Canis lupus familiaris: one gene and its partners. The protein of the gene in region 1 purifies or fractionates together with the protein of each later gene. This does not show direct contact. Links are inferred from orthologs where the notes say so. Each region holds a gene or a part of one and is shown in the gene's direction. Other genes may lie near its edges. The genes, in order: FBXO10, ACSL4 and PDE6D.

The links.
Region 2: the proteins of FBXO10 (region 1) and ACSL4 purify together in Homo sapiens (affinity purification with western blotting; 3 studies listed by BioGRID, with this or other methods). This does not show direct contact. The link is inferred for Canis lupus familiaris from reciprocal best matches to the Homo sapiens genes FBXO10 and ACSL4.
Region 3: the proteins of FBXO10 (region 1) and PDE6D purify together in Homo sapiens (affinity purification with mass spectrometry; 3 studies listed by BioGRID and IntAct, with this or other methods). This does not show direct contact. The link is inferred for Canis lupus familiaris from reciprocal best matches to the Homo sapiens genes FBXO10 and PDE6D.

Annotation. Positions count from the first base shown.
Region 1 is NC_049232.1:54,227,161-54,231,488, reverse strand, and holds the start of FBXO10 (F-box only protein 10), read left to right. Parts: upstream 1-1,503; 5' UTR 1,504-1,633; exon of another isoform or gene 1,634-1,969; intron 1,970-4,328. Other genes in the region: TOMM5 (mitochondrial import receptor subunit TOM5 homolog), read left to right, coding at 1,339-1,373. UniProt on the Homo sapiens protein: Substrate-recognition component of the SCF (SKP1-CUL1-F-box protein)-type E3 ubiquitin ligase complex. Mediates the ubiquitination and degradation of BCL2, an antiapoptotic protein, thereby playing a role in apoptosis by controlling the stability of BCL2.
Region 2 is NC_049260.1:83,553,019-83,556,639, reverse strand, and holds part of ACSL4 (long-chain-fatty-acid--CoA ligase 4), read left to right. Parts: intron 1-1,363; 5' UTR 1,364-1,543; coding exon 1,544-1,894; intron 1,895-2,142; coding exon 2,143-2,320; intron 2,321-3,493; coding exon 3,494-3,603; intron 3,604-3,621. UniProt on the Homo sapiens protein: Catalyzes the conversion of long-chain fatty acids to their active form acyl-CoA for both synthesis of cellular lipids, and degradation via beta-oxidation. Preferentially activates arachidonate and eicosapentaenoate as substrates.
Region 3 is NC_049246.1:43,816,758-43,820,939, reverse strand, and holds the start of PDE6D (retinal rod rhodopsin-sensitive cGMP 3',5'-cyclic phosphodiesterase subunit delta), read left to right. Parts: upstream 1-1,356; 5' UTR 1,357-1,415; coding exon 1,416-1,465; intron 1,466-4,182. UniProt on the Homo sapiens protein: Promotes the release of prenylated target proteins from cellular membranes. Modulates the activity of prenylated or palmitoylated Ras family members by regulating their subcellular location.

The DNA of each region.
Region 1 (4,328 bases):
TTTTTAAATTGTGGTAAAATATATATAAAATTTATTTTTAAGTGTACAGTTTAGTGGTATCAAAAACATTCATAATGTTATACAACCATCACCACCATCTCCAGAACTCTTTATCTTGTAAAACCAAAACTCTCTCTGTGATTTTGACATCTCTTAAGGCTCTCATATAAGTGGAATCATACAATATTTGTCTTTTTGTAACTGGCTTATTTGACTTTGCAGAGTCCTAAGGTTCATCCATGTGATAGCATATGTCCGAATCTCCTTCCTTTTTAAGGCTGAATCATATTTTATCATATACCACAGTTTGCTATCCATTCATCCGTCTTGGATTCAGATTGCTTCTACATTTTAGCTACTGTGAGTAATTCTGCTATAACATGGATATACAGATATCTCTTTTTAATTTTTTGAGGACCCACCATACTGTGATCCATAGCAGCTGTACTATTTTACATTCCCACAAACAGTGCACAAGGGTTCCCATTTTTCCACATCCTTGCCAACAGTTTGATAGTAGCCATCCTAATGGGTGTTAAGTGGTATCTCATTGTAGTTTTAATTTGCATTGTCCTAGTGATTGGTGATGTTAAACATCTTTTTGTGTGCTTTTTATTTCGGCCAGAGCACTTTTAATATAGGACAGTCATAACACTTCTTTAGATTTAGATCCCTCTAACAACATTTTTGTTTTCTAGCCCTTTCTCTTTGCACCTTCATACCAAACCCTATAAGAACTGAAGTAAGATTGTATCATAAATGATTTGGATTACATAAGTGTTATATGGCTTTATTTATTTGGGAGAGGGGAACAGAGGGAGATGGAGAGAGAGAATCCCAAGCAGACTCTGTGCTGAGCAGGGACCCCTGGTGCCGGGCTCAGTCTCAGACCCTGAGATCATGACCTGAGCTGAAATCAAGAGTCAGACCTTTACCAACAGAGCTACCCAGCACCCTTCAGATAGGTTTATAAAGGTGAAAAATGGCAATTTGTTTTTTCTAGTGTTTTATTCCTTTAACGGTTAAATCACCCAAAGTAAAAAGAGTGTCCTTTAAAGGAGGATTGAATTTGTTCTTTATGGTCGTAAGAGAACTACCTGGAGAAAAGATTTTATATAGCGTAAAAGTGGACCTTAGAATATAGTCAGAGCTTCATGACATTGGAAAGATAGTGAGTCTCTTTTACTAGGTTTGCAGTCTCAGGTTTGGCCATTATTTGGAGTTGTTTTTAAAAATGTAGTAAACTAAATCTCTAAGATTTCCCCTCCAGTCTTATAAATTCTGTAATGTAACTTTTGGGCTAATAGATCTGAAATTCTGGGTTTATTTTTCTTTCAGCACCTTTTATCCTAAAGAAATTGGACAGCATATGAAGATGGGCATCACATGTGAATGCGAGATATGAGGAACCCAGTTACAATTTCTACTCGATCTGCAAATGAATAGGCCCAGAAAGATGTAAGAGACTCTTTGATGAATGGACATAAAAATTCTACTTGTTAAGAACAAGTGTGGCTCTGGTAACTGACCTTCATAGCTAAAGTTTAAAAATACTTGGGAAGTAAAGACATCTTGTGGTGATAGTACACCCATATGCCTGTGATGTTCAGCTTCTGTGAATGTTGATATAATTGTAAGTAATGTCAAACTCTATTTTCTAACAAGTATTAATTATAAGGGAATTCTGTCTACAATAGCACTGTCTTGCTAATTTCTGTTTACATTTTTACTTCTTTCTGGAGTACATATGCTGAATTGTTCCTTATGATTAGTTATATTTTACAAAAGCCAGCACACAGCCACAACAACACTTGAGCACAGGACCATTGGTCTATATTTTTAATTAAAGTATCAACTAAGAAAAAAATTGGGATTTTATTTCTCTTAACCTACTTTTTGCTGCAGACCTCTTTGATGTTGTAATTATTACAAACTACATTAAACTGAGTTCCTCTTGTTTTGGACTGAAGGATTTGCTGATGCTGATAAAGTGACATTATTTTATTGTTGAGCAATCTTTATGTATGAAAGGCAACATTACTGCTTGATGCTGGGAATCTATAGTACCACCAAAGGAAAAAATGCTGTATTTTACATCAGATAGTTCTCTAAGTTTATTGGAGGAAGGGGACAGTCCTTAACCTTCTTCCCAGAGGCAACTACAGTTACCTCTTTTTTAGCTAATTGCTTTGGTATTTACCTTCATGTCTCTAAACAGCATGATTATATTGTTATTTTTTGAATTTTCTCTTTAGACCTTGCCTTCTCCATGTATGGAAGAATTAGGTCTCTTTCCTCTCCTTAACTCCATCACTCTTAACCTCTCCTCATTTCTTCTTCCTTCCAATGTACCTAGTGTGCTTTTGTTTGAATTAATTTCATAAGAACTCTAAATGCTGTTTGTTTTCTTTTCCTATACGTCTTTTTGTTTTCCTAGGCTTCATTTTCTATGAACTTACCAGTAAATCAACTAGACTTTTTGTCAAGTATCTAAATTGATCCCAGTGTTCAGTTTCACTAGATACTCTGTTTGATCTTGTCAAGTAAGTCTTTCCTAGGGCTTTCTGACCTGTCCCAGTCTGGACTGTAGTCTCCTGTGCCTGGTAAAGGGCTGTATTCTGGGAACTCCCTTCACTGCAATCCTGAGAATTCCTTTCCTCTTCTCCCATGTTGGATCTCTTGTTTCTGTATCTTGTTTTCTTTATCTCCTGTCTAGTATGCATTTGAGTCTGCATTGAGTATAGTACTTCTGCCCATCCCTGCCTGGCATCCCATAATCCAGAGAACCCTCTATTTTACCCTTTTCAGAAAATAAACTACTTATGAAAGGGAGCTGAGCAAGAAGCTGCTTAATGTTATGTAGAATTGCAGAGAGCATTCCAAATACTTAGATCTTCAACCAATCCTTATTTTAGTGTCTACTCCTTCACTCCTACTTCCAAAGGTAGATGAAGATCTTGGTTCCTGAACCTTTTAGGGATTCTGGGATGTAAATTGGGTTGTTTGTTTTAGTTTTCTTGGGGCTACCATGTTATTTGCTACTTGTCTGTTTCCAACTTCTAACATTTTACTATTGTCTCCTCTCTTCTTTTTCAATTATTTTAGGTTTATGCCTTAAAATGAAAATCTTTACTGTCATTTAATGGAATTTCAGGAGGGAGTGGAAGTAGATTTATGCTCGATCTACCATCTTTACCCAAATAGCATATGTTTTTACCCTGTGATGCTGTGTTTCATGTTGGTAATTTAGATCCATTCCTGACCTAAGGAGGTGCGGTAAATAGCACCATGGTCACAGTCACTGGCCCTAAAGACAAGCAGACTTGATTTTGTTTCCTGATTCCAACACTTGGGAGATGAATGACTTTTAGCAACTGAACCTCTATATCTCATTTTCTTCACCTATAAAATTAGCATAGTGGGAATATCTATCTACTTCAGCGTATGTAAGGATAAAGTAAGAGAATGCAAGTGGAGCCATTAGCACAGTGCCTAACATTTGCCAAATGCTATTTATTGTTAATGGTTAGTGTTTGGTATAAGGTGATTAGAAGTGATTTGTGCTAGCAATCACTGCATTAGTAGGTTTCATTCATATTTTCAGATGTTGTGAGATAGCATGCTTAATTCTAATTATATGCAAACTTCAACATTACTTAAATTCATTATCTAATAACATTGTTAATTTTGCAGATGAGGAGTTTGAGACTCTGGAAGATTTGGTGGCTAATAACAGCTGTCCCAAGGTTGAGGGGCTTTTAATGCTTGCTTATTGTATCCTGTCCTTAAGTGCTTTTCTTGGGATGTGTGATTGTTACCCTGGTTTCCAGCAGATGTTCAGGCTAGGGTAAGGGAAATGTGATGGTGTGTTTTTTTTTATCACTGACTTTTTAAAAATTCAGGTCATAAACTCCACAGGGTTGTGGGGTGTCTAATACTTAATAAACAGTTTGAACATGGTACATCAGAAAACAATTGGCCATGTGCATACATTTGGTTTGAAGGTGAAATGTGAAATAGGAAAGAACCATAGCAGATTGGAGTTTTGTAAACTTAAAATGGAGCATAAAAAGAAATGTGGATAATTGGGAGAAAATATTATTCCACAGATTTTATAGAGGGATACAATCTTAGAATTTTGCTCCTCAATCAGGTTAGTGTTCTTCCTACTACCACTGAGTTTCATTATTAAACTCCTTATCATTGCTTTTTGAAGTTCTTCCATAAGTAAGTTACCATTTCAATAACACTGTGTTCCATAGGTTACAGGTGGGCAAACATGGGCCTAGATTTGGAAGGAAGAACAAGTGTAGGAGTGTGAACTTTCT
Region 2 (3,621 bases), on another chromosome or scaffold:
TTTCTCAGTTGAAGGAAGGCCCAGCCCCCTGTGAATTATTATTACCCCTAAGGCCATTGCTGTCCAGTTGGCACTATTTCTCTGACCTGCAATAGCCCCTGGTTTTGTGCCCAATCAAATCAAAATTACTTTGTCTGATCTGTCAGATCCTGTACTACCATAAGCTCTTTAGTCAATGTGCATGCACTTTGTGCCCCATTCAGGCTAGTGAGTGCCTCCTTATTGGCACTCTCCAGCCCCTCAAAGCCCTTTCACTCCTACCTCTGTGTCTCTCCATGTGGCTTCCCTGCCTGGAATGCTCTCCATTCTTTCTCTCCTTTTCTGGGGCCAGTTTAATAAGTCTCCTCTCCACAGAGCCTGCTTGCCCTCCCTCTGAATGCCTGTTGCATTTATTGCATGTACCACACACCATAGCACTTCACTCTTTCTGCAAGGCTCTTCCCTGGAAATGTTTCAGCGGTGGTTGCTCTGGGAGTGGGGTTCCTGGCAGTCCAGGGTGGGGCCCTGGACACCCCCAGGCCCCAATTAAGCCAGAGCAGTTCTGCTTTAGTCACCTAGGTGGGAAGTCTGCATGAATTTTTATTTGAAGAAGTGGTTTAGCTGCCCCCCCCAGCCCCTGCCCCACCAAAAACAGTTTGAAAAACACTGGATCTGACTTGTGTGCTGATTGCCTCATAAAGTGCTGACTGGTCATGAGCAAGGGCTGGGGATGACACTAGTTTGGACCCATGCTTCTGCTGTTCCCAGGCACTGGGTGCAATTCTGAGCACAAAACGAACACTTAGGAAATGACTTGGCCATTATACTGCTTAACAGTTGGGGACGGATAGGAGCTAGTGAACAGCATTACCTCAGAAATTGACCTTAACGAGAGCTCAGAATAGCATTTCTGGGTTGATGGTTGGGAAAAAAGCATAAATCGGGGGGGGGGGGGGAAGGGGAGGTATTTCTCCCATTTCAGGTACAAAACCTAACCCTACTTAAATCTACCCAGTTTATCTACATATTTAAGAGAAACCTCATTATTGGCATTCCCAAGGTTCAACCAAACTTTACTATCCCTGCCATATGTTTGTATAAGCATGAAAGTAGTGTCACTCAAGTGACTTGCAGAGTGATGTTCAGAGTAGAGTATCCCTAAAAACCCAGACAAAATTAAATTCAGAAGTTTATGGCAATGCTTAAAAATGGAAAGTGCCAGTCTTTCAGACCAGTTATTTCAACTTTCTGTATCAGATCAATGATATAAACTACTGAAGACCTGAGTATTTAAATCAATATTGCTATCAACTTGTTAATGCTCTTGTTTTGTTTTGTCTTTTTTTTTCCTGCTCTCTGCCTGGTTCATTGTCTTCACCTACAGGTGTACTTTATTGTCAGCTTCCAAAGATTACTAACTTTTATCTGTATCATTAAAATTGAACTGCCTTGGCTATACTGCTACTCTTACTGCTGCTTCCGTTATTGCCTTCTTCAGCAAAATAAGGCTTTCTGCAGCCAAAGAATAACAAGAAATAAACACCACTGTAGAAGCCTTGCCACTATGAAACTTAGGCTAAACGTGCTCACCATTATTTTGCTGCCTGTCCACTTGTTAATAACAATATACAGTGCCCTTATATTTATTCCATGGTATTTTCTTACCAATGCCAAGAAGAAAAACGCTATGGCAAAGAGAATAAAAGCTAAGCCCACTTCAGACAAACCTGGAAGTCCATATCGCTCTGTCACGCACTTCGACTCACTAGCTGTCATAGACATCCCCGGAGCTGACACTCTGGATAAGTTATTTGATCATGCCGTGTCCAAGTTTGGGAAGAAGGACAGCCTCGGGACCAGAGAAATCCTAAGTGAAGAAAATGAAATGCAGCCGAATGGAAAGGTTTTTAAGAAGGTATGGCATCTTTGTGCTTTATAATTTTTCTTTGAAGGGGAAGGTATGCTTCCCTGTAGCATACATCAAACGCATTTTTAAATATGCTGCTATTCCATGTAAATATGCTGTGTAACCAATTCACAGAAGGTGCTCACAGCTTCTGTATATTTACTTAAAGGCAGTTTTAGAGTTCTATACTTTGAATAGCCTTTTAATTGCTTGTTTGAATAAATATACTCATATTAGAGCATGTCTCCATTTAACAGTTAATTCTTGGGAGTTATAAATGGATGAGCTATCTTGAAGTGAACTGCAGAGTGAATAATTTTGGTAGTGGACTCACTGCACTGGGACTGAAACCAAAGAACACTATTGCCATTTTCTGTGAGACCAGGGCCGAATGGATGATTGCAGCTCAGACCTGCTTTAAGTACAACTTCCCTCGTAAGTGCCTTACATTTTTGGAAGGGGAGGAAAGAGGTTTTTAGTAACATGTGAAATTGTCCTGCAATCCTATTGTTTTCATGGTAGGTGGTCTTTAGCAATTTTTCTGCATAAGTTCTATACATAAAACAGTACATGCTGAGGTGAAAAGCTCTCTGATGATTCCTGTTAAAGAAAGTTAATTTCTTAGAGCCAGTATGGGAATTGGCAGCTTAATGGACACAATTTAGAATTTTACTTTTCAATTGGAAGTGAATTATACCTGAAAGATTTGGGATTTGGGGGTATGATTTAGGAAGCGACACACAAAATAATGATTAAAACAAACAATCATTGCTTAGGATTATTCTAGTTCACTGCTTCATTTCGAGGCCTCCTCTTTGACTTATTCCATTTTACATGTGAAATGAGCACATAACAGCTTGAACTGACATTAGATATGATTGCCAAATTTTTATCATCCCTATACTTACTTTTACAGTTTTCTGGGTTTGCAAAGTCATTTATCCAACTCCAAAGTGGAAATTATTATCTCCCACAGGACAAGGGTAGAGCTGAATTTCCAATCTGATCTAAGTTTAGCAGATGTCCCTTGATTCTAACTGATCTTGGTTTCAGCTTAGGTTTCCTTTGTCTGGTAGCTCCAAAATATAGGCCCACCCACTTACAGCTTGAAGGTCACCAATCAACTTGGACACTGGGCCCACTAAAAAAAAACTCCCTAAAAGGAATGATAACATGATTCTGACTTAAGATCCTCAGTCTGAAGATTCTCAAGGACTTACCCATTTTTTGGTGCTATGACCAAGGAAAGCGCTTGTCACAGGGTAGTTCTAGGTGGGCTTGGTCTGACCTAAGTTAAGAGTTCAGCCAGAAACTTATGGGCCTTGAGAATCTTGATTGACTAATTTTTGAACAGTTGTAGCACTTCCAGTATTGCTGCATTTCTTCAGGTTTAGGATGTTAGAATCCTGAGAATTTATTTGTAAGGAGAAATTGGGGCTACCAGGAAGTTTCAGGCAATATTTAAAGGTAATAGTGGAGACTATGAAATCTAATGACATTATAAAATGTTTTTGCATCCATGAGTGTACCCATCACAAAAGGCTGACTTAAACAATGTACCTCATAAATGAGTATCAGTTAACATGTGTTTTATTTTTTGTTATGTAGTTGTGACTTTATATGCCACACTTGGCAAAGAAGCTGTAGTTCATGGGTTAAATGAATCTGAGGCTACCTACCTGATTACTAGTGTTGAACTTCTAGAAAGTAAACTTAAGGTAAATAAAATTTTTTCT
Region 3 (4,182 bases), on another chromosome or scaffold:
AGGAAGGAAGGCCTCGGAAAAGAGATAGGAGATGTCCAAGGAAACCTTAGCTTACGCTACAATTTTACCTAGTTCCTGAAATCACATTAAATGTCACCTTGAGCAACAAATAACAAATCAAAACACTAAGTCCTTCCTAGACTGAAGATAAACAAACATCACACTCCTTCACTTACAGGAAATCCACCAAAATGAATGCTTACCTAACCTCTGGGTGTTTCAACCTGGATGAGGATACTTCACTAAGGAAAATAATAATCACACAGCCATGCTGCTAAAAATATCGCCACCTCAGTGTGGTGTAAACAGCCCAAACTGAGGGTCAGGAGACTTAGAGCCGAATTCTAACTCTGTCCCAAGTTGCTGTAACCAGTGGACGATCGCTTCGCCTCTCTGGGGCCTCAGTTTCCTCGTATGTAAAACAACAGAGGGTGGTTTGGCAAATTCTCTTAATATCCCTTCCGGTAGGGAGAGTCTGAGTATACGATCCATATCTCTCCCAGCCCAACGCAGGAGCACACCAGAAACCCCTGCAAAACAAGTAAAAGGCGCCCCAGACCAACAAACAAGCACGATTTAAAGGAGTCATTTTATCTTCCGTGGTTTAATCAAGTGTTTTTGTTTGTTGTTTGCAGCCTTACCATGATTTGCAGGAGATTTCTGAGTTCCATGTAAACAGATGTTACCTCCCTGTGGGCTGTCATCCTCTTCTGAGAGTTAAGGGGGTCTTCCCGCCCAGTTTCAAGTCTCCGAATTCAGAAACCCCCAAGGCTGAGGGAAGGTTTACGAATTTGCGCACACTGCGCGGCACACTGGAGTCTAAGTTACAGAGGAACAGGGTGCAGGGAATGCTGGGATTTGTAGTCCCCGGGCCTCTTTGTTGCGTGATGGGATCTGTGGTTCCCCCGGGCACTCCCCCGGAATGCTGGGAAATGTAGTCTCTCTCACATCGCACAGGGCAACCCGCCGTCATTTCAGCGCCCTAGTGTGCCCCGCGGAGGGAGCGGGCCCCTCGAGCCTCTGCAGATCTGAAGCCAACCCTCCGCTGGGGCAAACTCTAGGCAACAAGACCTAAAGAAAAATTTGTCCTACGGGACTTCCCGGGGAGGGCCCTTCCCACTGACGCTCGTCGTCCCCCGGCGAAGCCGCTGAATGTTTCTATTGGCTGCTCGGGATGCCAATCGGCGAGGAGGGCTTTCCATTGGCTTTGGGGCGGGCGCTCCGAGGCTAGGGGGAAGGAGAAGGGATCAGGAGCGGGAGCTGAGGGGAGGGAGAGGCCGGTCCGGGTCTGGCCGCTGCCGCTGCTCGCTGGAGGTCTCCAGGCCGCGCTGCGGCTCCGTCCTCGGTTCCTGGGCACCGTCTGCGAGGCTCCGCCGGGCCAGCGTGGGAGAGCCGCGGGCGGCGGCCGCCGCATCATGTCAGCCAAGGACGAGAGGGCCAGGGAGATCCTGAAGGGCTTCAAACTGTATCCGCCCGGGAGTGGGGCGGGGCGGGGCCGGGAGGACTTGGGGGGCGGCCGCTGGCGGAGGAGACGGGCCGGGGGCGGGGGCCGCGCCTGCTGGGCTCGGGACGGGAGCGCGGCGGGAGGGGACGGAGGGGACCGAGGGAACGGCGTCCCGGTCCCCCCGGCGGGACCGGGTACTGGAGGCGGGGCAGGGGGCGTCCTGAGGGAGGAAGGAGACGTTGCCGGGAGCCGGGGGCTGGAGTGGAGGAGCCCCTGTCCGAATTGGGCTGGGAGACGCGGCGGGCGTCGGAAACGCGTGGCGGTGAGGCCGGCTTGGGTCCGAGCCTCGGCCCGCGCCCGGAGGCCAGAAGGGGGGCTGCGGCCCGCAGGGAGGGCCGAGGGGCGCGGGGGGCTGGCCTCGCAGCCCTGCAGCCCGTTTGGCGGGAAGGCCCCGGGGGAGCAGGGAAAAGTGACTCGGAGCGAGTGACCTTGGGTGGGACAAATGCAAATGCTTGTGCTGAACTCTCCCGGGTTCCCCCGTCCCCCCCTCTACGCCACCCCCTCCTTGTTTCCACAACTTCTCTGCCTCACTTGTGGCTCCTTCCAGGGCTGGAGCAGAGAGGAAGGTGGGCCAAGAGAAGCCCGGGATCCACCTCATCTTAACACTCTCTTGGCCTTGTGAGGCACTGGATGGTGGCAGCTTCTCTCTCAGCCTTTCACTTTTCTGTCCAGCGAAGTGAGGACCCTGCACTCGAGCGTGAGATGCCTTGAGGTGTTTTGGTTTTGCACCGGGACTCCTGGCAAAGGTATCTGCGCGCTTGCGTTTGTGAGGTTCACGCGGAGACCAGGTGGAGCTGTCCAGCAATTATTTGATTACTTTGGGGACACGGTAGGATTTAGCAGGATCTAGAAATCATTGCCCCAGGCCTGGCCTGTTGTGGTGCCGCTTGTGCAACCTTCTTTCTCTCTTTAACGTATTAGGAAGCCTCGTGTTTAAATGGAGTGTCTGTCTGTGACCATAGGATGCGGATGAAAAATAGGCAAACCTGGACATTCCAATTTCACATTTTCCTGCTGAGCTTAAATCTCTTTTTACATCCCGTGCGTACAAAATGGAACGTTCTCAAATTCTTCTCTCCGTGAAGTTGTAGTCATCACTTTAGGTCTCCCCCCACCCCCCCAAAGGAGATTTAGTGAAGCACTGTTCTCTGAGCTGCCTTTGTGTTTTCACGATGCCCATTTCACCGCTGGAAATTTTAATTGCTTTTCACAGTCAGAAAGCAAGTTGGTAGTAAATTTTAGAACCCAAAATGCAACAACAACAACAACAACAAAAAAGTTACAGGACATTTTAGATATACAAATGAAAAGTTTCAAATGGAAGCTGATCTGCTATGCTTCTTTTGAAAAAAAACGGAAGGCATTATACACTAGGCATAAGGTCATTCGTGGTAAAGTTTAGTAAAAGCCTCTTTTTATAGCTTCGTGTACCTTTCGGTGTCTTTTTTCATAATGGCACCTATAAGTAAATAGGGATGGCTGAAGTCTTAGAAAAGCTGTGACATGGATTTTATTTTTCCCCTAAGTAATTTGTATTGTTAGTTACATGTATACTGTAGATAGTAAAATCAGAGACTGGGGAATTGAGAGATTTCAGAAGCAACGTTTTTGGTCCAATTGGAATTAACATACTGCTGAAAACAAGAAAGAATCTTTTTAATGGTTTTCAAACAAAGAAACTTCTTACCTCAGTCTGGGCTCTTGAAGCTGTTGAGAAAGAGGTTAAGGGACACATGTGGAAAAGAGTAGAAATCATCATCAGGTGAATTAACCAGTTCAATGATGACGTTAGTGTATTAAGAAACAGGCTTTCAGAGAAGGTTTGACCTGAGCTGATTAAATCTCAAGGGAAGCAGCCGCATAAAAAAGTTAGCATGGGAGCAAGAGGATGCTCATCCTCTGGTAGCCTTTATTGACATCTGAGGATTAAGAGAGAAAGGAAAGGAGTTCTAGAATTTGCTACTACCTTCAGGAAAACACAATCTTTTAGTAAAACAAACTGCTTATTGTCCACCTTTTTTATTGGGTGAATTGTTTTTCTGAACTTTCATTGAATCTGTTTCTGTAAGAGTTTTTTTCTACCAAAAGAAAGCACCATTAGAGTCTCCTACCAGCGATGTTGACAGTGCTCAGTTCCACATTGACTCTGTCTTTTATATTTTTGCCAATTTAGACAAGTGATACCTTATTTTAATTTGTATTTCCCTGGATATCTAGATCCCTGGACAGGTAATAGAGCATAGTGGTTAAGAAGAATTCTGGACTGTAGAGCTGTTCTGTGTTGGAATCCCAGCCCTACACTCTTGGTTGTCCCTGAGCAACTCATTTAACCTCAGCCTCAATTTCCTCATCTGTAAATGGGGTTAAAAATAGTACTTATCTCATAGGGTTGTTACGAAGATTGAATGAGTTGATAGCTGAAGCATTTAGAAAAGCACCTGATGCCTAGTAAACATTATATATTAGCTCTTATTATTGTTAGAGAAGTTGCAAAATCTTCTGTTTGGCAGTTCCTTTTCTGTGAATCACTTGTTGATTTTGTTTTTTGCCCATTTTACTATTGAATTTTTTACTTACTGGTTTGTGTGTGTGCCTTAATATCATTTGCCTGTTCTGTATGTTGCAAATATTTTCCATCAATATATTGTTCATCTCCTTTTTAGTTGAACAAATTTTAT